Nothobranchius furzeri: one gene and its partner. The protein of the gene in region 1 purifies or fractionates together with the protein of each later gene. This does not show direct contact. Links are inferred from orthologs where the notes say so. Each region holds a gene or a part of one and is shown on either strand. Other genes may lie near its edges.

Evidence for each region.
Region 2: the proteins of robo1 (region 1) and usp33 purify together in Homo sapiens (affinity purification with western blotting; 5 studies listed by BioGRID and IntAct, with this or other methods). This does not show direct contact. The link is inferred for Nothobranchius furzeri from reciprocal best matches to the Homo sapiens genes ROBO1 and USP33.

Annotation. Positions count from the first base shown.
Region 1 is NC_091753.1:53,956,670-53,968,432, reverse strand, and holds part of robo1 (roundabout homolog 1), read left to right. Parts: intron 1-463; coding exon 464-490; intron 491-1,853; coding exon 1,854-1,896; intron 1,897-3,381; coding exon 3,382-3,536; intron 3,537-5,212; coding exon 5,213-5,599; intron 5,600-6,251; coding exon 6,252-6,368; intron 6,369-8,537; coding exon 8,538-8,682; intron 8,683-8,947; coding exon 8,948-9,175; intron 9,176-9,597; coding exon 9,598-10,085; intron 10,086-10,176; coding exon 10,177-10,338; intron 10,339-11,763. UniProt on the Homo sapiens protein: Receptor for SLIT1 and SLIT2 that mediates cellular responses to molecular guidance cues in cellular migration, including axonal navigation at the ventral midline of the neural tube and projection of axons to different regions during neuronal development.
Region 2 is NC_091751.1:41,925,520-41,937,992, reverse strand, and holds the start of usp33 (ubiquitin carboxyl-terminal hydrolase 33), read left to right. Parts: upstream 1-5,364; 5' UTR 5,365-5,504; intron 5,505-5,849; exon of another isoform or gene 5,850-5,962; intron 5,963-11,247; 5' UTR 11,248-11,262; coding exon 11,263-11,346; intron 11,347-11,677; coding exon 11,678-11,731; intron 11,732-11,818; coding exon 11,819-11,881; intron 11,882-12,473. Other genes in the region: miga1 (mitoguardin 1), read right to left, coding at 1-47, 894-1,018, 1,168-1,339, 1,917-2,015. UniProt on the Homo sapiens protein: Deubiquitinating enzyme involved in various processes such as centrosome duplication, cellular migration and beta-2 adrenergic receptor/ADRB2 recycling.

The DNA of each region.
Region 1 (11,763 bases):
TTCTTTTTGGTATGCCACCCCAAGATTACCAGTGGCTTGTGTCAGTAGCCCCCTTTAAAGACTTCATGGAGGTGCCCCTGTATATGTAGAGAGCAACATGACTGTGTGAGAGTGTGTATGATTGAGTGAATAAAACACGTATTGTAAAGCATTTTGCAGAACCTGGATCAGGTGAAATGCGGCATGGAAAACAGCCTAGCTATAAATAATATCTACATGCCAGTTACTTGCATGCATGTGTGTAGTTATTAAACAGCCGATAGCCATGTCAAAATGAGCAGCTTATAATTCGAAGGCACTCAACTACCAACAGACCTCTGATTGGTCCAGGTGTGTACCAGAACTGGCAGCTAGATTAACGTTTTCTGTAAGGATTCAGAAAAGGAGGAGGTGGCGGTGAGGGTAAAGATGTTGGCTGAGGTGGCTTGTAACATGGGATTTTCTTTTTCTTCTTCCTCTACAGTTCCATCTTTTACTTTCACACCAACAGGTAAGCACCTTTCTTGAGTACGAAATGTTTTTAGTTCAGTAAATGGTGCCCAGCACAAGCCTATTTACTATTATTGGTTTTGTCAGTCCTGAAAGACCTGTTAGTATGTGAACCTGTTTAGATTCAGTACAGATTCATTAACTGTAGTGAAGTCAGTGAAGGGACACCATGATGTAAGCTAATAAAGGGAAACGGTGAGTAGCCGCTACCTGAAAACGAATGTTCTGGCGAGTGTTTGGACTGTCAGAACTTGGTGCCAGAGAAGGGGACACACTTCTGGGAGGCTGTTAAAACTCATAGTAACTTGATCAAAGAGCTGCTGGCAACCTCAGATGGGATTTTTTAGAATGACACACCGCTAACACCCCTGTGAATCAAAGTGGCACGGCGTGAAACGGATAAAAACTTTCCGTCTTTGAGTTCATGGCTGCAGTCTTCCTCCTTTTTCTTTAAATAATGAACTTTAATCCATCTGAACCTCTTTGTCCACCGGAGCTGTGTCATGGTTGCAACAAGAGGGGAGCGGTGAGCTGCAGCTGTGGCTGCGCTCGGGAACTATTAAACCCCCTTAAAGCTGAGTGACCCGAGCGGGAATTGGACTCCGATCTCCCAGTCCCAGGGTGGACACTCTACCACTAGGCCACTGAGCAGGTTTAACAGCACCTGAAGCCGATGCTTGTTGCAACACCAGTAGATCCTATCTATCAGCTACACGAGCATTTGTGTTTCTGTCTGCCTTGAGCGATGCAATCAGGTCAAATAACTTAGCAGCTGTAGACCCGTTTCATGTTCTAATGGTGAGATTTGCTCCTTATTGGTGTGATTAGGCCTGACACATCCTTTAGTGTTGTGTGAGTAGCTCATTGGGTGGATTTCAGTGGAGATTGTGTCAGTTATACCTCTGCTTTGTGCAGGCTGTAAAAACAGAAGCCACACGGTACTTTGTTGTGAAAAGAAGACGGAGACGCAGCAGAGCTAAGGCCCTGCCTTGTCTTCTCCCACCTTAATTGTAATTAAAGTTGGAAGTTTATCTTCCTTTCACACACTGGCAGCTTAGAGAGGGTCCTTAAGAGTCCAACGTGCTATGTGCACAGCTTCAAATACACAGAACCTAGAAACTACAGAGCTCTGCATCTTTCTTCTTCATAAGCCTCCGATGCATCCTCGTCCTGCTCCAGTCGCTTTAAAAACGTATTTGTGACTCGACTGGAATCGTGCACACACCTCAAACACAATAATTGTCATTTAATGCAGAAATGATTCATTTACTTTTGACTTATTATGACAGTTGTATAAATGATGATGCAATAAAAAGGTTTGCTTTGAAATCATGATGGAAACCTAATATGTGTTCTTTGTTTAGTGGCATATCAAAGAGGTGGAGAAAGTATCAGCAGTGCTGGAAGGTAAGGCTTTTTTTTAAGTGTGTGACTGCTTTCAATTTATTTTTTCATGTCTCAGAAAATTACATTATTAGACTTGATTTTTCAAACGGGGTGTTGAACCTTCAGAACAGACAAAAAAGGGATGGGCACATGCACTTTTCTTTCCCAAACACTAGGGGGCGATCTGAGTCTTTCCAAGGCAGCAGGTAGTATAAAGGGTGTAATAATGGTTGAGGAACAAAGACCAGGCCGAGTCGGATGGGAGCCCATCCCATGTGCTGGAACGCCACATCCTACCACAAGGCTGTGCCATAGCATCGCTCTAAAATAGGAACAGAGACCCGTGCATGTGCACAGCAGCAACTACGTGCCTATTGGATGGTGCACCACACACAAGCTGTGAGACTGCACAGCATTACACTTGCCAAAACTAATTTGTTTATCCTCTGGATGGCCTTTGGCATGTCGTCATATAGCTGGTAAATGGAATACGTGTGTGTGTGTGTGTGTGTAAGGGGGGGGGTGCATTCAGTTATTATCCGATTTCTGCTCAGAGAACAGAATGTACTTAATGCTGCACCATAAGTGTGTGTGTGTGTGTTAATGAATAGTTAGCTTGAAGCCATCAACAGTAAATCCATATTCATTATATTACTCCAGCTGTATGATTGAATCCTGTTTCCAGTGCGGCTGTGTCAGCTCTGCACTAAACAATGGTCGTTCAATATCAACATACAACTGCCGGGGTGACTGAGGAGCTATTGTGAGATTGTATTTGGCCGTACAAGACAAATGTGTTCATTACCCAAAATTAATCCAAGAAATGAGTCATTACGGGTGGAATGAGGAAATGTAATTCAATGCTAATTCAGTGCTGGGATATGCGGTCCGGGAGTTTTGAATACCAAAGCAGTATGCAGCCCCGCTAGAGTACACTGCTTCCCTTTTTACGCTGGATTGATTTGTTTAATCAGCAATAGGAAAAAAAAAATATTGTGCTGTTTTTTTCTGCAGCAAAGGTCAAGATCTACAGAATAATCCTGTTAACAAGTGATGTTATATCAGCTGCACTGTACTAAACAGGAGAACAAAGACACAAAAAACTCTATTTTGCATGTGTGTTTAACAGAAAACTGAGCTTTTGTGTGACGTTGAATTTACTCAGGGAGCAACATCAGGAGTGAATTTTATCTGGCTGTCTGATTCAGGCAGATCGCTAACGCTCACATGGTCTCAGAGCAAGCATCATCAGCTCTGTGGAAATCAAACACGCTCCATATTTAGCTCTTTTATGCGTTTCCTTATTGCATGTTTGGCCAAAAGGCAAAAAGTACTCAAACCGGATTTAGTTTTCCTCTTCTCAGCCGCACAAATAAACTCTGCATAATCTTCTTCCCCCAAACACTAGGTTCCTGCGGGTGTTTTCGTTCATTCAGACAAATGTCATTGTGGCGCTGGCTTAGTTTGTTACCATTGTCAAACATCTGGTCTCATTTCTCCTCGCAGGCCTGGTTTACTAAACATGGGAGACTCAGCCACTCAGCCCTGGCTGGCTGACACATGGCCCAACTCGTGCTCCAACCACAACGACTGCAGCATCAACTGCTGCACCGCGGGCAACGGCAACAGTGACAGCAACCTGACAACGTACAGCAGACCAGGTAAGTCACGCCACACCTCTCACATGCAGGCAGAAACCAGAAAAAAAAAATCACTCCTCTCCAAGGCAACGATGCAGTCCTTGACAAAATAACTATTGTGATAAGAAATGTGGGAGCTTGGGGGAACCTGCAGTGCAAGAGGAAGTAAGATCTGATATCTAGGTTAGCTCTCGAGGGAGTTGCTGTGTGCATCTCTCCCTTCTGCAGGTCTCCACTAGAGAACAGTAGAATAGTGGCTATGCGCGTGTGTGTATGATTTATTTGAGGTTGAAGTGTAGCCGTTTTAGGCAGGAAATAAAAGGAGTACACTGAGCAGGGCTTATAGCTCGACTCTGTTGCTAATCAAATTGCTCTGCTGATTTCCATACAGTTGTTATAGCTGGTAATGTAATTTCCTCTAAGTGCTCAGTTGTTTAAGAAATGTGCAGCGGGCAAGGGGGTCAAGGCTGGACGGCAGGCGATGGCCAGAAGCAGGGGGAGAGAGAGGGGGTGCACCTGGATCAGTAGATGGAGAATTAGGAACATTTGAAACCAGACAGAGGAATATGATGTGGTGTTTTTGCGCAAAGGGGAGCTTGTTTGGCTCCAGGTCCTTGTCCACTGTTGCTAAATCATTTACTGTATGGTATTTATAGAATAATATGCACCCAGAAACTTTCGCATGGATGACATGAGTTAATGTTAATATATTTCAAGCATGACCAACAACCCCATCATAGAAACTTGGACGCCACTAAAATCTTTTATGTTCTAAATTATGCACTTTGGGGCTCTAATAGCAGCACATAACTCCCGTCCAGCTGTTCTACCCAATATCCATCCAGCCTCCCGATGGTGTTCTCCCGACTTCAAACCTCTCTCAGAGAGGAATCATAATTCATTTCACAGACTTTATAGTCCAGTGCAGTTTTCCTTTGTGCTAATCACCCCTCTGAGGTTGTATGAGAGGCTGGAGCCCTCACTCTCCTTGCATGACACCCTGCTATATGACACTAAGGAGCTTGCCAGACGCATGCTTTGTGTGTGTGTGTGTGCCAAAACTAAACTGAACATTAAGAGGATCACTGACTAGGTGACAGAGCAAAGAAATCGGAGTTAATGTCCCTTTATCTCAGCCATAGGGGCGCTTTCACACAGCGTCCTTTGAAGTGTTGATCTGTTCCGTGCAGCTGAAATGTGAGGCGCGTGGCACGAGCCGCGTGTACTATGGCCGTCTTTGGTATTTACCGCTAGGCTGGCTCTCAGACCTGCTGGAGGATTTGAATATTTTATGAGCCAGGGAAAATTGGATCAGTCTGTGAAGCTGTGCTTTTACTGCGTGCCTCGTTCCATGTCTTTGATACAGACATGTCTCTCTGTCCCTCTCAATGAGGGAGGATGCTGCCGCTGTCAGATGGAGGGGGGAAAAATGGCTCCCCCACTGAGTTATTGGTAGATTGGTGCAACACCTGAAACGGGATCATTTGGTGAACAAAGCTGAAAATTAAAACAGAAAAATGGAATGTTTCTCCACTGGATAGTGATCTTTGCAAAGCTTGAAATGAAAATGTGTCTTTTGTTAGAATAAGCTCCAAATTAGATCAGATTGTTTGAAATCTTTTACCAAGCTGGCTTACTGCTGCTAAGCTGATCAGCAGCAGTAAAGACTGACTAAATGCCCTCCTCATGTTCTCCAGCCGACTGTATCGCCAATTATAACAACCAGATGGATAACAAGCAGACCAACCTCATGGTGCCAGACTCAGGGGTCTATGGAGATGTGGACCTGTCCAACAAGATCAATGAAATGAAGACCTTCAACAGCCCAAACCTGAAAGATGGCCGCTTTGTAGGCACAGGGGGCCAGCCAACACCTTACGCCACCACTCAGCTCATCCAGTCCTCCATCATGAGCAACAACACGAACTCAGACAGAGTCATCGGTGGGAGCGGAGGTGGACTCGGGGGTGGAGGGGAATTAAATGAGAAACACTGCTGGAAGCCAGCATCAGCCCAGCAGCAGAAACAGGAAATGGGCTCCCAGCTCCAGTACAGCATCATGGAACAAAACAAGCTCAATAAGGGTGAGTGTGTGGAGTACCCAGCAGCCTCTGTTACAGAGGTCAACTCCAGGCCATGATCTTCCTCCACTTGACTTTCCCCTCTGTTCTCTGCTCTCCTGGCTGATTCAGCCACCCTATGGATGTCTATGCAAGAGTTTCATGCTTATTCACCATTTGGCTCTTTCCTCCCAGTCTTTTTCAGTCCACAAAGGCATCATCACTCTTTCTTTCTGCTTGTCTGTTTGGCATTCATGTTATCCTTCATCATCTTTTGGGCCAGGCTTGAATCCTCTCTCGGTATTCTGGGTATTGCTCTGATAAAGGCGGGCGCTGAAAGCGCTTCTCTATCTGTCACATTTCTATAAAGACGACAAAGATAAATCAAAGCTGTTTGAATCAAGCTATAATTATCTTATCCTACCTGGTGAAAGGACCCTTGTCTAGCATTTAACATCAAAGATATGTGTTGCATGTGATATATAGTCACCTGAGATCTATCCTGCATGTCTGTCTTTGCATTTACCTTATAACATTAGGCTCACTGCAGGAGAATTAGAGAATTTTTGGTTACATCGCCAATGTTCTTCATTCCTTTTCATGAGAAACTGGGTGATTTCCTTTGACCTCTGACTAGTTACGCCTGGGAATGAACTAACTGGACTCTATCCAACAGATCGCTACAGAGGCGGCGACAGTCCGATGCCAGCCACCATTCCCTACAACCAGACTCACGACAGCCACACCGGGGGCTCCTACAACAGCTCTGACCGAGGCAGCAGCAGCACCTCTGGTGAGATGTGTTGGGCTTTATAGAGAAATACAACTTAAAGGGGCATTAAGGAAGTTTGACAGCCAAAACATGTATAGAAATAATAAATGTCTTCTTCATACATTCTCCTGCAATACCCTGGTCCTGTAGAATGAGCCCTGGCATTTTTACTGTGATTGCCTGTTTTTCTGTAAAATCACAGAAAAAGAGAGATGCTCGGGTCGAGCAGGCTGCTTCATGCGCGTTCACGCTCAGGCATCGCCCGTAGCATTTGCTATCCGTAGCTTTAGTCTTTGTCGCTGTTCCTAACGCCTAGTGACAAAGCTAGCTACAATTCTGGAGACACTTAGCTACTTTCTGTAGAACTTTCTTCTAGATATTTCCTGCAAATTAGCAACAAAATAGCCATTTTAGCTCTGAACCGTTCTTTGAACGTTGTTTCAGCTGTCACAGTGGCGTGTCCAGATCTTTTAAAATGGGGTGGCCCAGGTGAGGCACTACTTTGTGCATATGTGGCACCAGTGGTTATGCTTTTTTGTTTTACCTCAAGCCTTTTGTGGACAATGAAACGCCCATTTAAAGGAAATTCTGTGTGGTGACACCTGGGGTGGCCAATCAGATTCCAAGGGTGGCATGTGCTACCCCAGACCACTCCCTGGACTGAGCTGTCATCAAGGATATAAATGTTACAGATACAAATGACATCACTGGCGCTTTAGCTCCCCTAGTAAAACATCGGCCTCTCGTGCAGAAGACCTGGGTTTGATTCTGGATGTGAACATAGTTTATTTAGTTTCTTTTTTACATTAATGGTATATTTTTACAGTAAGATGCCCAAATTTTTATTTGAGACTCGCCGAACGGCATTGAATTCACAGATAAAAAAAGATGTGGGTTCAACTTTCATTTTGGAACAATTTTTCAAGCAAGGGAAGGGAATGATCTGAGCATGCAGGAGGACTGACCCATCATAAACCTTTGTCGGCTGTGCTGAAGAGAAAGGTACAGAACCACATTATTTAATTAATTAGCTGCGCGTTCTCCTGTCCTCTGCCCTCCGGGCCACACACACACACCCACCCACCCACACACACACACACACACACACACACACGGGACTGTCTCAGCTGTTATTTTCGTTAAAGAGTGTGCACGTACAGCATGCGCGCCTCGTGCACGAGCCTACTATTGAAGCTGGCGTTACGCTTTTGGCCTGAGGGGCAATCGCAAGCATAAAAATTTAAAACTCCATTAAGTCCCTTTAAAGGCGCATCATCAGATCTCTTATCAACTTATTCCACTTCTTTTAGACTTTAATAATTAACATTTCATGTTTTGCCAAGTAATCTTTTAGCTTCTGCAATCACTGTGAACCCAAGACTCCCGTACACATACTCCACAAAGGCAATACATCATCGTAGTGACACTAATAAAATATGCTTTAAAGGCTTTTTCTGATTCATTTATCCTGTCAAATTTTATGAAAACTTTGCAAAAAAGGGCCGATTAGAGTAGTTGCGCTGCTTCTAAACAATGAAAGAACCACTAGAGCCTGATAATGCTTACAAGAGTAAAAAGAAATGTATGCCTTTTATGGTGCCTCTAAGTAGTTCTCTACGTATTTGTGGTGCTAGTTTTGCCCTAGCTTACTTTAACCAGATTTAGCTCAATTCTATTGTGATGCGGTTTAATATCCGGAGCTCGATGTGGACAAGGATAAATGATTACACACAGCAGACGGCATGCAACGCTGCCACCTTAATGCCATGTATCCATTCTGATATCACATTTGAAGTTCAAGTCATTAAGAAAAGGCCTTTTGTGCTTGCTGCACATCACAGCTCATTGGTTCACAATTTTAATAGTGTGGCATTAATTGGACCCTTTTCACGCTTCATTCTTACCTTTTTTCTCCGGACCAGCTGATAGCCCTGTGGTAGAACAGCTGGGTTTTATAGCGGTTTCTTTCTCAATGAGAGAATTCTGACAGTGCAGTCGAATTAGCCTCTCTGTTCTCCAGTGTACAACAATCTTTCTTGCAGTCAGCCTTGTTGATGTTCATTTTATATGCTGTCCATTTCCTGTCGGCGTTTATAACCGACGTGTTTCTGCTACACAGGATTCACGCGTGTGCATATGAAGGTGTGTAGTGACTGATTAAATGTCCGTTTTCCCTTTTTTTCTGAGCAGGGAGTCAGGGCCACAAGAAGGGAGTGCGCACCCCCAAACTACCCAAACAAAGCACAATGAATTGGGCTGACCTTCTACCCCCTCCTCCTGCAAACCCAGCCCCGGGTCGAACCACAGAGGAGTACGTACTGTCCATGGAAGAAAGGTAGACAGTCAATCTGACATTGACGCTCACGGTGTTGAAGTGCTAGACAATTTCTGAACACGTTCTTCTGTTTCTTATAACCATTCCAAGTGCTCGCCTCAGGAGTTTCCTGTCCATTAGAGCTCCGTTTGTGTCAAATCCTGATGGAAGGAATGCATGAATATTTAGTTCCTCTTTTTTTTCCCAGCTTCAGAATATATTGAAAACATTGACGTTACCCGTGAGTGATCTGCAGCTAACAAGGCTTGTTTGTGTCTGCTGGCAGCGGTGATCCAGACATGCAGTGCCCCATGCCCCCTTCTCACATGTACCTGCAGCCTGATGAGTTAGAGGAGGAGGAGATGGAGAGGGGGCCTACTCCTCCTGTCCGCGGGGCAGCCTCTTCCCCCGCTGCTATATCCTACAGTCACCAGTCCACAGCCACCCTCACCCCCTCGCCGCAGGAGGAGATGCAGCCGATGCTTCAGGACGGATCAGACAGCCATGAACGCAGGTATATGTGTGAACGGCACTGAGCAGAGCACAATGCTGGCCACGCTGAGAGGCGGCGTTCAGGAAATGTATCTGCTCTAAAAGCCTCATTCGGCGTACTTTATTTCATGATTGGGCTCATTAACTCCAAATTCTGCACATTGCACTGCGGCGTCAGCCGTTTTTCAAAAGCATGTCTTAGCTTTTAGAATGATTTCTTACCTTCCACGGAGTCGTAGTTCCAAGTCATTTCAGTAAAGCATGACAAATGAATGTTACAATATGGCAAGTTATTATGGCATAAAATTTTAAATATTTTATTTGCATCACTGATGGAAGGTGTAGCACGTAGCTACAACAAGAAAGACCCGTTTTACAGCAAGCTGGTGAAATTTTTTTAAATCCTTACTGATGCTGATAAAATGTTTTCATCTCTTCCTGCAGGCGCCATGCTGTGAGCCCGCCACCCCCCCCAAGGCCCCACTCTCCCTCACACACATATGGATACATAGGCAGCCCACTGGCCTTGGACACCGACGGTCTGGAGGAAGAGGAGGATATATTAGAGGAAGAGGAGGAGGAGGATGGTGATGAAACAGACGCAGAGGTGGCCAAGATGCACTACCACCATACCCATCCCCACCCCCAGATGCATGCGCGAAGGTTGCTACTACGAGGACTGGAACAGACCCCTGCATCCAGCATGGGCGACCTGGAAAGCTCGGTGACCGGCTCCATGATCAACGGATGGGGCTCAGCTTCGGAGGAGGACAATGTCTCTTCGGGGAGGTCGAGTGCAGTCAGCTCATCAGACGGCTCCTTTTTCACAGACGCCGACTTTGCTCAAGCAGTTGCTGCAGCTGCAGAATATTCAGGGCTCAGGGTGGCAAAGTACCCCAATTCACAGGTCCAGGAAGTGGGCGGAGCCTCAGGTAAAGTCCACAACTTCTACACAGAAGATTACTGCAACAAATTTGAAGTTATTGCAAAGAAACAAACAAAATGTTCTGTTTCTTTTCTCAGCTCGAAAATACCAAATAAACCCGTCGGGACATCGTCCTGGCAGCCCAGTGTCTACAGACAGTAATATGAGTATGGCAGCTATGCACAGGAGGCCTCCTAAAAAGCAAAAACAGCATCCTGCAGGTCATCCTGGGAACCAGAGACGTGAAGCCTTCAGTGAAGGTACATGAACGAGTACATCTACATAAAGTAACCCAGTCCTGCTTCAAGTAGGTTACTGGCTGATAAACTAAAACCTAAAAAAGCACTCACCGAATGAAGTTTTACGTCTTTTGATACCCAAGTCATTAAGATTTAGCACACCATTGTGTGAAAGAACAGTCTTGCTTTCATTCCGAAAAGAACCAGAACATATTTGTGTTCTGTAAATCTACGGTAGAGATGTATGTTTTCAACATTTTTGTTTGACCAGTTGAAGTACGGTTCATAATTGGTTTACCATAAACTCGTGTGTGCACTTCTTCGTTCACTCATTCTAATAGATTTTGATGCAAAACCAAAGTAGCACACTCGTTATAATATTCAGAAACAAAATGGCGCGAGTGGGTCGAGGGTTGACCTGTCCATCAGGACCTGTTGCACAGCGATGCTTGCACATTCTGGAGCACACACTTTTAAAAACAAATTAAGTTTCCTTACACTGAACTAAACTGTTACACTGACATTCCTTTATATTATTAATCAAATTACTCTTAAGAGGCAGATGCAAAATAGCTGTGGCCAAGCAGGAGCGCCATGGCAGAGACCGAGTCCTGGCCTCGGGTCTGTTTGCCGTGCGGCTTCGTTTCCACACTGTGCTCTTTCTTGACCGCTTCATCTTTGAATAAATGTATTTTTGTATCGCTCATCCCGTCCTCTAGTGGAACAAAATATTAGACACAAGCGCAGTACAATAACCATGTACATGCAATTAGGGTTGTCACGGTGTGAAAATTTAACCTCACAGTTATTGTGACCAAAATTATCACGGTTTTCGGTATTATCGCAGTATTTTTTTAAACGTGTTACATTTTCAAACAACTAAATAAACCCTGTGTATCAGGAAAATATTGTCCTCGGTTTATGTCAAAATTTTGCCTAAAATGTGTTATTTTGTAATTATGTTGTTTATTTACATTTTTCCCCTTTAAAATACCAATATTTGCCCATAACTTCTTATTTTTTGTCTGTTTGATGTCATCATTTTAAAAATATTAGACCAGATGATACTCAGTACTCAAGTAGCCTTCTAATCAGATACATTTTTACCCTTACTTGAGTAATAAACCCTATATCAGGAAAATATTGTCCTCGGTTTGTGTCCTTCCAGTGAGCTTTGCAGATTTGGGAAAATGTCATCAGGCAGTAATCATTGTTAAATTCATAATTATTCTCAGAGAGAGACCAACTCTTATCTGCCTCTGGGAGCCCCGTAATGCATAGTGTCATTTCAACATGGCGGTGTCCGCGACACGGTTTATATGCAGGTAGCGGCGCTGCGGCTGCTTTATATAGCGACTTGTTGCATTCTCCCTCAACCCAAATCCTCGGATGACGCATTTTAGCTAAAACGCTAACGTTAGCTTGCCTTGCGTTGACTGTAGAGTT
Region 2 (12,473 bases), on another chromosome or scaffold:
GACTCGTCCGCACAGGTGCTGCTGCTGGACGAGTTCATGCTTTGCACCTGTGAAGACGAAGCAGAGCATGTTCACTCAGCAGAAACAATCAGCAGGTTGTTTCTAAAAAGACTGGATGCGATTTGTGTACAAATATTAAATATGATCCCGCTCATAAGAAATAACATTTTAAAGAGCAAGTCACCCCCAAATCAACTTTCTGTTTCTGATAAACTATATAAATGCGTGTCTAATCGTGCTGCAGACACGTGTAGTCAATAGTTTTGCACTTTAGTGCGTTTTAGTTAAAATTTGAGTTTTCTGCCTAAAACTGTCAGTGTTGTGCCGTTGTCAGGTAAAAACTCTGCACTGCATTTGAAGAAAATATCATTTCTATAGCGCCTCTCAAGATAAAAATCACGAGGCGCTTCACAAAAACAAAAAATGTAAAAATATAAAAATAATTTAGAAAATGTTTAAAAATATATTTTAAATGAGCAAAAAATAGACAATTGTGATTAAAAATGTAAAGAAAGAGAGAGAGTGAAAAGGAAAGAGGTAGGGAGAGCAGAACAAGGAGTTGCTAATGCTAACAGTTAGCTTGTAGCCAACTGCTCTGTTTTCTCCTGGACGCTAAATGAACAACAGCCTTCCCCGTCACGAGTTAAGATGGGTGAGTCCTTGAATGCTATCTTGTCATCATGACATGCAAATGTAGGCTTTTCTAATACGAGCATTTCCTAGAATATTTTTCTTTTGTCGGCTAATACAGGAAAAAGTGGTAGGAGACTATTTTCACCCTTTAGCCTGCAGGTTAAACCAAGAATGATCAATCATAATAAAAAAAATATATACAAGTAAAAACTTATTCTCAGTGAACTTGGCCTTCAATAGAAACATCAGATGCGTCTTACCGAGGCCAAGCTCATCAGAGACCCAGAGAGTTTTCTGTAATCTCTCGTGGTGAGAACCAGTCCAGAACCAGCTGAGCTGGTGTTCTTGGAGTTGAGGGAGACGCTGATGGTTTGGCTGGTGTTATCTGGGAAGAGAATGTTTAACACTTTAGAGATAAGCTTACAAAACAATGTTTAAACACAGCAGGAGGGCTCCCTCTCAAATGCAACTCAACTCCAGTTACTTCTAGGATGCGGATTACAGAGCTGATGGACAGACAGTAAAACATCTCACCATTGTCTGCTGAGGCTGGAGAGTAAACATCAAAACCAGCCTCCTTCCACTGTGGAGAGGGACCCTTCTTTCTGCCCTTCCTCCTCCGAAAGCGGTGAGCGAGGAGGAGGAGCGAGGCAGTTCCGAATGCAGCAGCAGCCACCAGCCTCTTGGCGCTGGAGCTGACGCTCACCTGGAGGGTCAGAAGTTCAACAACACTTACATTTATGAGGGTTAAAAAATTCTGAACAGAAATCTAACGTAAACTAATATTTGTCCACAACAAAAGCAGAGTTCAAAGTCCCAAAACCTGCATCTAAATCAGAATAGCATAAAAGACCAGAGGGGATGTGCTGATCTGATTGCTTTGCCTCCACTTTGAAGCCTTGCAGCTCTGCGGAGCTTCAGAGCTGCATCCATAACTGCTGTTGCCACATATCAAATGAGCTTCTACCAGACAACTCTAATAATATCAGACCAGCTCTGTGACTCAAACACTCTTGTGTCTTATGTAATAAACAGAACAGCATCTGGGTAACAAATGGAAAATATAAGGTACTTACTGCTCTAAAGAACATGAAAAAACACAAAGCGAAACAAAAGAAATGGAGGGGAACGCTTGAGATTTGTGCATGAAAATCAATTTGAGGTTTAGATTTAACTGAGATTTTTTTGTCATCTGAAGGTCTGTATGTTTTCTTTCATGTATGAATGATGTACCCTAAAACTGATCCCAGTAAGAGCTCCAAGTGATCGTTTCTTTTGCTCACCTGTGTCAGGGAGCTGTAGACGGATAGCGAGAGGTCAACCATGCGCAGGGCAGCAGCTTTCACAGACAGCTGGGAGCTTGTGAGGTTCTCATGTGTCATTGTGGCTCTCTATCCATGTCTTGGCAGGAGTTTTGTCCTCAACATTTCACTGGTGCTGTAGAAGAGACGAGAAGAGATTTCACCTTAGAGGCTCAGGAGAGGATCTTATGTAAAGCCAGTAAATTCAGGTCTTAACGTTAGTGCAATGACCTGAAAGAACACCCTACAAAAGAAAGAAATAATAAGTCTTACCCAAAATTGCAGCAAATGAAAGCATTATGGGGTTTATCTTTCTGTTACCATACAACTGTTATATAAAAACAAGCACGTACCACATATTATTTGATGTCATAAATCCATTTGGCAGGACAGGGAAACATCTAATCAAATTTGTCTAAGACATTTAAAATCTGTTTTAATATATTATATTGTATTTTTAATCAACTTCATCCACTTAAAGCTTGCTGGCACGTGTATAATATGTGTAAGAATTGAATATTTTACCTTATTTACAATCTTAGTTAAAATTAATCTAAACTAGACAGAATTTTTACAGCGCGCAATAAACTAAAGAATAAAGAAGCAGACTTGATTTTAGACTTAAGACTATTCCAAATCCTGCATTTAAAACTAAAATTCTGCAAGTTTGTTTCAACTTAAGCTAAAACAATCGCTTTCTTGTAACAAAATTTAAAAAAAATGCTTAAAATACTCATTCCTTTTCACCAGTTATTGTCTTAGCCACATGTTAAAAGCACTTAGATATTTTTGTGTTGCTGCATCTGCATGGCACCACAATAATACACAATAATACAATGAGCTTGAATTACACCAAAACACATTCATCTAACGGCAAATGTTGTGGGGGGAAAAAAATCCATAAATGTTTTCATAGAAAAAGCCTTTCTGTCGAGAAGAAAATCAAGAAATGTATCAGAAAATCACTTTAGCACATGGCTGGATCATACTTATCGGCTTCAATGGGAAGCTAAAGGCTAGCTAAGAAAACAGCATACAAAAACTAGCTAAAACAGTTTCAAACTTGTATTTACACGCTGTCTCCTATCTGAATGTAACATACTAAAGATGGAAAACACATTATCGTTACTCGTTAAGATTTCCTTCACGGTGTCCTCTCCCGGTGTTTCGTTCAGTCCTCCGGTTGACCTCAGTCGGTTCCAGACGATTGAAGGACTCGCTTGAGCTACAAACGCCCTCTTCCGGTTTGGCTTTCAAAATAAAAGCGCTCATCTTATTTACATTTGTGGAGCTTTGGCGCCCTCTTTGGTTTGGTTGCGTATTACATTATTTAAGGGTCTCACGTGATAATTACAAAATTAAAGAGCAAGTCACCCCTTACAAGAAGCGTACTTCACTCCCACTTCATGTTTGAAAAATGCAACAAATGCTGTTGCCTAGCAGACCGAGAGGGTGGAGCCACTAACAAATACACACACTCACGGCATTGTGACATCATAATGTACCAGTTTACATCATAGCATACCTCTTAGCCAGTAGCGGTGGCAGATTTAAATTCAAATGCAGTGAAGAGTTTTTACCTGACAACGGCACAACACTGACAGTTTCAGGCAGAAAATTTAAATTTTAATAAAATGCACTAAAGTGCAAAACTACTGACTACACGTGTCTGCAGCACGGTTAGACACACATTTATATAGTTTATCAGAAAAAAATAGTTGATTTGGGGGTGACTTGCTCTTTAATGTATGTGATTTTGCCATGGATTTTACATGAACAATGAGAGTTTAAAATAAAAATTTAAAAAGCTGCAATTTAAAAATTACTTTGAAGTAAATGTTTGAGGTGTAGGTTTTAGGTCAGCTGTTAAAATAAGCCATATTTTTTATAGAACTCTTGATGAACACACTGTAAACGTGACTTATAACATTTTTCTGACTCTTTTTGCTCACTACATATCAATGTTTCAAATAAAATGTTCCATTTAATCTAATTTACGTTATTGTTCATCACTAACTTTATGTCACATAAAGTTAGAAAATGGAACATTTTAATAAAAACCTATATTTAAAAACAATACCTCCACGGGGTGCTCAGAGGTGTGCAGAATAAATGTACAGTTTCTCCTTTTAAACCTTTATTTTAATATTTTATAATTTAAAAAGACACATAATCATATTTTTATTCTGTCAGCACGACACTGTGATATATTTTCATCTACCAGCCACTAGAGGGCACCGCCCAACAAGGCAAGGTTGGGACTGTGGCAGACTTGACAAGTCAAACAGTTGACTCTGAGCCCAGAAGATGTTCTAACTGTACGTACTGTTGTAAAATAAACCTATTATTAGAAATGAGTCCTTATCCTGTATGATTTGTCTCTGAACACGGTGCTGGAACATGACAGCAGTGAGCCAACATCCCAGTTGCTGGAAAATTCGTCCTGTTGTTGCAATACCACTTCTGAACACCAGAGTTCGCCAGATTATTCATATTCCATTGTCAACCTGATAACGAGCTGCGCCTTTCAGAGTCAGAGGACTCCAAGGGCTTTACCCTACAATGTACCATTCATCCATTCACACACACACACACACACACACACACACACACACACACACACACACACACACACACACACACACACACACACACACACACACGGGGGAACACTGACTAATGTAAATTAGACAGCAATTTGTGAAAGATATTTTAGATATTAATAACAGTTATTATCATGGTGTTTTCAAAAAATTTTTGTATGACTTTTATTTTTTGTTGTTAATGACAATGTTTTGTTTTCTTCTAATTTACTCTAGTTCACAAAATAAAAATAAAATCTGATTTTATATATTAAAGATTTTATAAGTCATGAAAATTTTTCTTTTCCCCACATATCTCTCGCTTTTAAATGTTAAAATGTCTCAGTTATACTTCTATCTTTTTAAATATTTCTATGACTAAAGCACATTTTAAGCATCATGTTTATGTTTGATCATGTATTTTATTTGGTTTCAATTCAATTCAAAAATACTTTATTAATCCCAGAGGGAAATTGATTGGTTGATTTGGATGTTATTTCCCTTTTTACGCTAGATCGCGCTTGGGTGGGTGTTCCCCATACATTGTGTATCAGCCAGGTGACTGATTTTGTATTTTAAAAATCTCTACTCTATCTTAACAAATTTAACTGCATTGTTACAACGTCAAAATCCAACCAATCTGCATGATGACTCAATATTTTGTTCAGTAAGATATTATTATTACATTTTATTTAAAAATATAATTTTTGATAATGCTGGGCTCCTTTGTCCTAAAGCTATACAAGTGCCATTTGATAATATTTATAACAATGTAAACAAAAACTTTGTACAGTAAAATGGGGAGGATTCATACATTTTAAACCGGAAAATGGGCGGGGCTAGTTGTAACGTTAGCAACCACGCTGAGTGACGGTAGCGTTGTCTTTACTGTGGAGGATTTTCTTCTGAAATGTCTCTAAAACCAATGTGAGATACGCCAGGAACAGTTGGATCTACGCGAGAAGCAGCGTGTCTTGTTAAGGAGCTGGTAAGGACCAAATCTGGGCTTTTTTTTTGGATGCTGCTGACTCCTGTGAGGTCCGATTGTCACTGATCATCAGTAGCTTTAGCTTGCTAACCAGTTAGCATGTTCGTAGTGAGATGACTATACGTTATAAACCATCGAACCGGAACATTTTCGGTGTGTGATTTAGCGTAATACACATATGTTTTGTTTTTAGTGGTTAGTGGTAAGGTTAAGTTGCAACACACTGAATTAAAACGGATAGTAGTTAGCTAACGCTAACAGCGAAAGATGGCCAGCCAGCCTGTGACGCCTCTACATATTTTGACAGCTCACTAGGCCGAAGCCACACACTTCTGCATTAACCACTGACTTTATCTGGGACAAAAGGACAACTCGCTTCCGCTTTGAAACCTACAGTAAAAAAAAAAATTAAGTGATTAAACGGACTTTTTCTGTCACTTTCTCTGATTGGGTTTCAGGTAATGACGCTAACATCACGTTTTCTGCACAATAGTTATTGCTAACCTGTTGTGGACTGGCTGTTTGCTAAGCTAATGATTACATGTTTTAACGGATCAACTTTGTGCCTTTAAGATATAATTAATTCATATTTTCTCTGTTGACAAAAATGTATTAATGCATGTTATTAAGAACAGGATTAGCTGTATATATGTGAAATTTGTCTGAAAGCCCCACCCTAGAGTACCACTCATTTGTACAGTTTTTAGCTGTAGATCATGTATTCAGAATACTACCAAAAAAAAAAAATATATATATATATAAATATTTTGTTTCTAATATCCATCCTTATTACTGTTAAGGTGCAAAGGTGGTGGCTGAACATTTTAGTAAAATATGGTCACTTTAGCAGATACATTTTTATGTTAGATACTGGACCATCATTGTTACTGAGGTAGCTCCATAAGGCAGAACTGCTTTTAAACAGAGACAGCTAATAAATCAGTTATCCAATAATTATCGGATGAGGAGAGGTGCAAAATTCTGATGATGCACAAATCTAGCCTGACCAGCCAACCCCATGCTTCCTAATGGGAAGCATAGTTCCCTGCGTAGACAGAGGACAAGTCTGGCAGGTCAGGCTAGCACGTCTGGCTTTGATTAGCATTCAAAGTAATCTTTATAACTTGGATATAATTTACCACAACTGTTAACAGTATGGACAGAAATATGTCTGATTATGGGAGCTATTAACTGAATTGTCGTCTACAATGTAATTCTGGCTAAGCATTGCTTTTTTAAAATACATCAAACAGTAAAAAATGTGAAAAACTGTTTTAATCTTTATTTATCTTGCTGTACTTAGAAAACATGTGGCATCCAAATTCCATTCTTAAATGCAATTAGTTAGAAAAGCTGTCAAATCAACATTAATTTAAACATTTTCTCTGTGTAAAAGTGACTAAAAGTAAAACAAAATCATTTTAGCTTGTCTGGAATCGGTAGGACTGAAGTAAATGAACTTGGTTACATCCCATCTACCACTGGTATTTAATATAATGTCACATGACTTATGGAGGCACGGAGTGTATTGTATTGGTTTGAATAGGTATTCCCTCTGCTGTGTCCTGCTGTGTACTTCTAGCTGTATTTACAGCTGCAGGAACATTGAATTTATTTTTCCTTGACCTCTTGATCCTTTTTTCTTCCAAAGTTCACCGCAATCACAGGAGAATGGTCCGATAACATCCAGCATATCTTAGTCATATCATATCACATTTTTTGTTTATTGTTTGTGTGAAAAGCAATTTCATGCAGTTTGTCTCCCAGTTAGGCATTAACTAGCAGTTGTGTGACACGTATCGTGATAATAACGTGACATAACAGAGGTGTTATGTTTGATTTGTTTTTGACATTTCATAGCTGTGAAGCTAACTGATATATAGGTTTTAGATCAGAAAAGAACCTTACTCGTTACATTTTAGAATTAAAGAAGCTTTTAAAATCAATTTTTTTCAGATTGCCATGTAGTGGATGGATGAGAATCTAAATCAACACGATGCAGCACTTCCTCCTACTAAACTATTAATAAACAGACCCTAAAAAGCTCCTGTCTTCTTTCATTCTTTGAGTTTATGTCCCGTTTCCCTGATAAATAATTTTAAAGATGCATAAAATCTTCATGTGTTGATGGCGGTGGGATTTTACTCCCTTGCCAAAAGGCCCATCAACAGAAAGTTCTAATGATTTCCGATCATCCCTCTGAACGCTTTCTTCTTTTCTTCTCTGCAAAATGAAGTAAAACAATGAGAGTTAATGCAAGTCTGCATCTTATGAAGCTGTTTACATTAGTTCTGACACTCAAAATGTATTTGGAGTTAAAACAACACAATTATAACATAACCTGCACAAAAACCAGAGTCAACAACAGCAATGAAATGATAAGAGCCTATAAGATGAAGCCTCAGAATAGAATCTTGTAAAATCATGGAGGAATAGAAAGCAGATTACGTATCTTATCAGTGGTTTGGTGCTGGCTGTGCAGCAGGATAAACCCGTTTTATTCCTTTCTGTCTTCCGTCATTTATCCAGCCTGCTGGATGTGGCCTTCCTGTTTAACCTCCACTTAGGAACTGGGTGTGAAATCAGATTCCTGGGTGACTTTCACATTCGGTGTGTTTGTTGTTTCTTCGTCATTCTTTCCCATAAACATTTAGTAGCTGTTGTGGCTGATAGTGATTGGGAACATGGGTGAAGATGTTTCTCCACCACAGCTTCATATTTTTACCAGAACAAAGGCTTTTATAGATGATGTTAAAGGGGACATATTATGCAAAGCTCACCTTTTGCATAATTTTGTGCTTCCAAGTGGGTCTCTAGTATACTGCCTCTGTAAACACTCCCAAAAAATCAGTGTACTCGTTTTCTGTCAGTGTTTGGTTTTAGGAATTATGTGCTTAAAATGAGCTGTTTCACGAAGTCCTCATTTGTGATGTCACAACTGGGGAAATTTGAATAGAAGCACCTCATGTGCAAGAGAGCTGGTGCTGGAGGAACAGCAGCTCTACTCTGAGCCCCTCCCAGATATCAGAGCTTCTCAGCTTATTGACCCGTTGCACGTGAAGTCACACTTCTAGCTAACACATAACTTTTGTAAACACTACTCTCTATGACCCCCACCAAGGTGTGCTAATATTCCCACAAGTGAACTGGGCTAGAACCAGTAGAAACCAGGCTAAACTGGCAAAAAAACAACCTCAAATTTTCCCTCTCCATTCAATTCTCCCATAATTCACTGTTGCCCCACCTAAGTGTGCTGCTTTTTCCGATAACTGAACTGGGATTGAACTAGTTGAAGTAACGCTAAACATCAATCAATCAATCAATCAATCAATCAATCAATCAATCAATCAATCAATCAATCAATCAATCAATCAATCAATCAAAGCTTTATTTATAAAGTGCCTTCCGCGACCCTGTCGGGAAGCCCATGGCGCTGAACACAGTACATGAGAAAAAAAGGTAAAAACATTAAAGTAGAAAACAAATGGGTAAAACAGAGATAAAGAGACCAATGAAAGCAGGGAATTAAAGTCAACATAAATGAAGGCCTAACTCATACACATTCAGGGAATGCCAAGCCAACATCACAAAAACAACCAGAAGACAATCTCAGGCACTACATTTCCCTTTGTTCAGCACTCAGTTTGCTCTCTGTTTATTAAGCTTGTGTCGTCCAATATGTTGGACCCTCGTGATCAGCTGACATAGGTGCAAAGGGTCATTAGGGAGCCTAAGTCTCCTCCCTTTCCGGTCGGTTCATGGGTCCCCGGAAGAATGAAAAAATGAATGCAAGTCAACGGGGTTAAAAGCTTGTAAAAGTTCGTTATTAGCATGACGACAAATTAGATATCAGCATGTCGCATATGTGATGTCATGAAACTCCTCTCCTCTAGTGTAGCTACTACTTACCACATGGCCAGATTTATGGTGGTTCTTTTCCTCCTGAAGAAAGGATTTTAGGTTTGCTAAACTTACAGCCATTTTCCCTCAGTTTTCTCCGTGTCTGGTTTGATGACGTCACTTTCGTGAAGCGCATTTGTAGTCCTGGACTTATTTTCACACAAAACCTAAAATAACATTTCCCCTCGTTCAAAAATAAACACGTTCTTGGCATAAAAATGCTTCTTTAAAATTCACAGACATCATATGTGAAACCCATGGTACATAACAAGCAGAATTAGAAAATAGCTTTTTTAGCCCCATCGACTTGCATTCATTTTTTCGTTCTTCCGGGGACCCACGGTCCGGATGTAGATGGGCGTGACTTAGGCTCCCTATTGACCCTTTGCACCGACGTCACCTAATCACATGGGTCCACCATGCTGGACGGCAAAAGCATGTAAACAGTGAGCGGCACGAGTACTAAACAAAGGGAAAAGTAGAGCCTGAAATTGTTTTTGCGATCAAAACAAAAACAAAACTCCTCCAGCATTCCTTCAACTAGTTTATGCCCAGTTCAGTTATCAGAAGTAGCGCATCTAGCGGGGGCTCATAGAGAGCTTACCAACGTTAACTCCTCCTCTGCGGCTGTTCACCGATGTAAACATGTTGCTGACTTTGCTTAAATTCACCCCTCTGGATTTATAACTTTATGTTGTAAACAGCGTTTCACTTCACACAAAAGCTGATTTTTAAAAAGTCTGGATCCCTACCAGCTTCTGTTGCTGGTGGTGTTACCGGGTTCAGCTGCTGCTTTCACACCAGAATGAGAAGATCTCTGAACGCCGACGCTCATATAAATAAATAACGTAATTTTAACACACGTAATTATACATCGGAGCTTTAATATTGTTAATAATTGTCTCGCTTTACACTACAGTGGATGGAGCGCGGTCTCCGTGGTGAAATACCCATCCATCAGGATTATCAATAACTTGTATAAACACATCACATTTATCCCTGTCCCTGTATTCCTCGTGAAATAGATGAACGTTAATCTTACCCGGTAAAAATGTGTTTGCTGTAAATTTGAGGGCTGCTAGTCTGCCTGATTGATCGCTGCAGTTCATCTCCGTCCTCTGTCTCCATCAAAGTTATTAAAAAAACAAAACGAGTTGAGCTTACATCCTTATCTGTTAGTGCAGCCAACCACGCAGCACGCTAAAACCATTTTACTGTCAAGTCAACTAAATAAAAGCGATAAAAGGCTACAAACTGGCTTGTTTTGACTACCTTCACTGGAGTTTCAACGGGTTTAAACAGTCTTTTTGCCGTCCATCATGGCAAAGGGGGCGGTCACATGAGTGGCGTGACGTCACGTGCAAAGGGTCAATAGCAGCCTGAGTGGGGGGATGGGCGTGGCCAGCTCCAGCTTGTTTTCTTAAAGAGACAAAAACCTGAAACGGCTCATTCTGGAAGGTACTAGAAATATCAAGAATCAAACTGCTGAAATCGTTTTATGTTGGAGGTAATTGGTGCAAAGGACTTAAACATAATCATGTTTTATATAGATCAAAGCAGTATTATAACGTAAGAAAAAAGTCACAATATGTTTAGCTGTAGCAGGAAGCTGGCATAACTGGTTCAGAGTTATTGACAGCTGGTTGATGATTTCTGGCTTGGCAAGCCAACAGCTTACTAATTTTGAGTATGTGTGGAAAACCCTGTCAGGTGTGAGGACTCTGGTGACAGTAACCTGACTATTGTCTTCAGTGTTCTATAAAGCAAAAAGCTCATTCTGAGTCCGGAAAGTTACTCAAACCCAAACTGGAGTTGTGTTCTCAGTGTTGCGTTTCTCACGTAGACTGGTCGGTGAGCGATGTCGCCGACATCCAGCTGTGACTGCCCCCACCTGGACTGTGTGGGGGAGATCACCAAGGAGGAACTAATTCAGAAGTCTCATGTAAGTGACCCTGCTGAAATTTACCAACTCACTTTAAGGTAAACCTTAATGCGATTCCTAGAAGGTAATCTAGTAAGTAGTGGATTCAACTCAATTAAAGATGGCCGCCATGGTCCTCAGGCCTCAGAAAATAAAAACTGTAAACTGAAGAAGAAGAAGAAAATATCATTTTTATATATATGTGGTGATAGTAACTGATTGTTCATAGATCTTTTAAAACCTTTCCAAATTCAGATTTTAGTTTAAAACTGATGTGATTTGTTTACTTTGAGGAATTAATTTGTTTTTACTGCATTTTCACAATTTCCTATTAACCTTCACATCTCATCAGGGTCAGTGTCAAGACTGCAAAGTCAGAGGACCGAATCTGTGGGCGTGTTTGGAGGTAAGACAATGATTCCCAGGGAATGCGTCGAGCCGATCCTTTCCTCTTAAACATCATGGTGCCTTCATCTTCTGATTCCCTCTCCAGGATGGCTGTGCCTACGTGGGCTGTGGGGAATCTCACGCCGACCACAGCACGGTGCACTCGCAGGTGAGACGCTGAGAGCCGTCAAAGTGCAATCCCAACGAGGAAGTGGTTGTGATAAGAGTGGAAAAAGGGAATGACGCCTTGAGCTGGAAATAGATGAAAAGATTGAAGCGCAGACAGAAATCCCACATTAGAGTCCCGAGAGCCAGAGAACTACCTCCCCAACTTTCGTACCGCGTTTATTTTTAATGTTTTTCCTCTGTGATCTCAGAGCCCGCACATGGATCTTTAAGCTTTTTGAAGTGCACATGTTTATAAAAAAGAGAAACCGTCTATGCTGAGTTTCTGTGCCTACATCCACACATGCGGTTCAGTTTCAGCAGCAGATCATCCATTATTAATCGCCGGTCCTTCGGGAAGTGGGGGAAGATTCACTATGGTTACAGTATCTGCTCCTAGTCAGCCTCTTGTCTTCTTTTTGTGGACTAATGCTTTTCCCTCAGTGCGCTAAAGCCAAACGGGGTTAGGAGGGAAGACAGATCAAAAGGCAAACTGCCGAGTAGCATTCCCATCAGCAATCCAGGTGCTAGCTTACTTAGAAACTGCTTTTAGCCTGTTTTTATTTGAAGGTTTCTTCAAATGTAGGAGTGGTGCC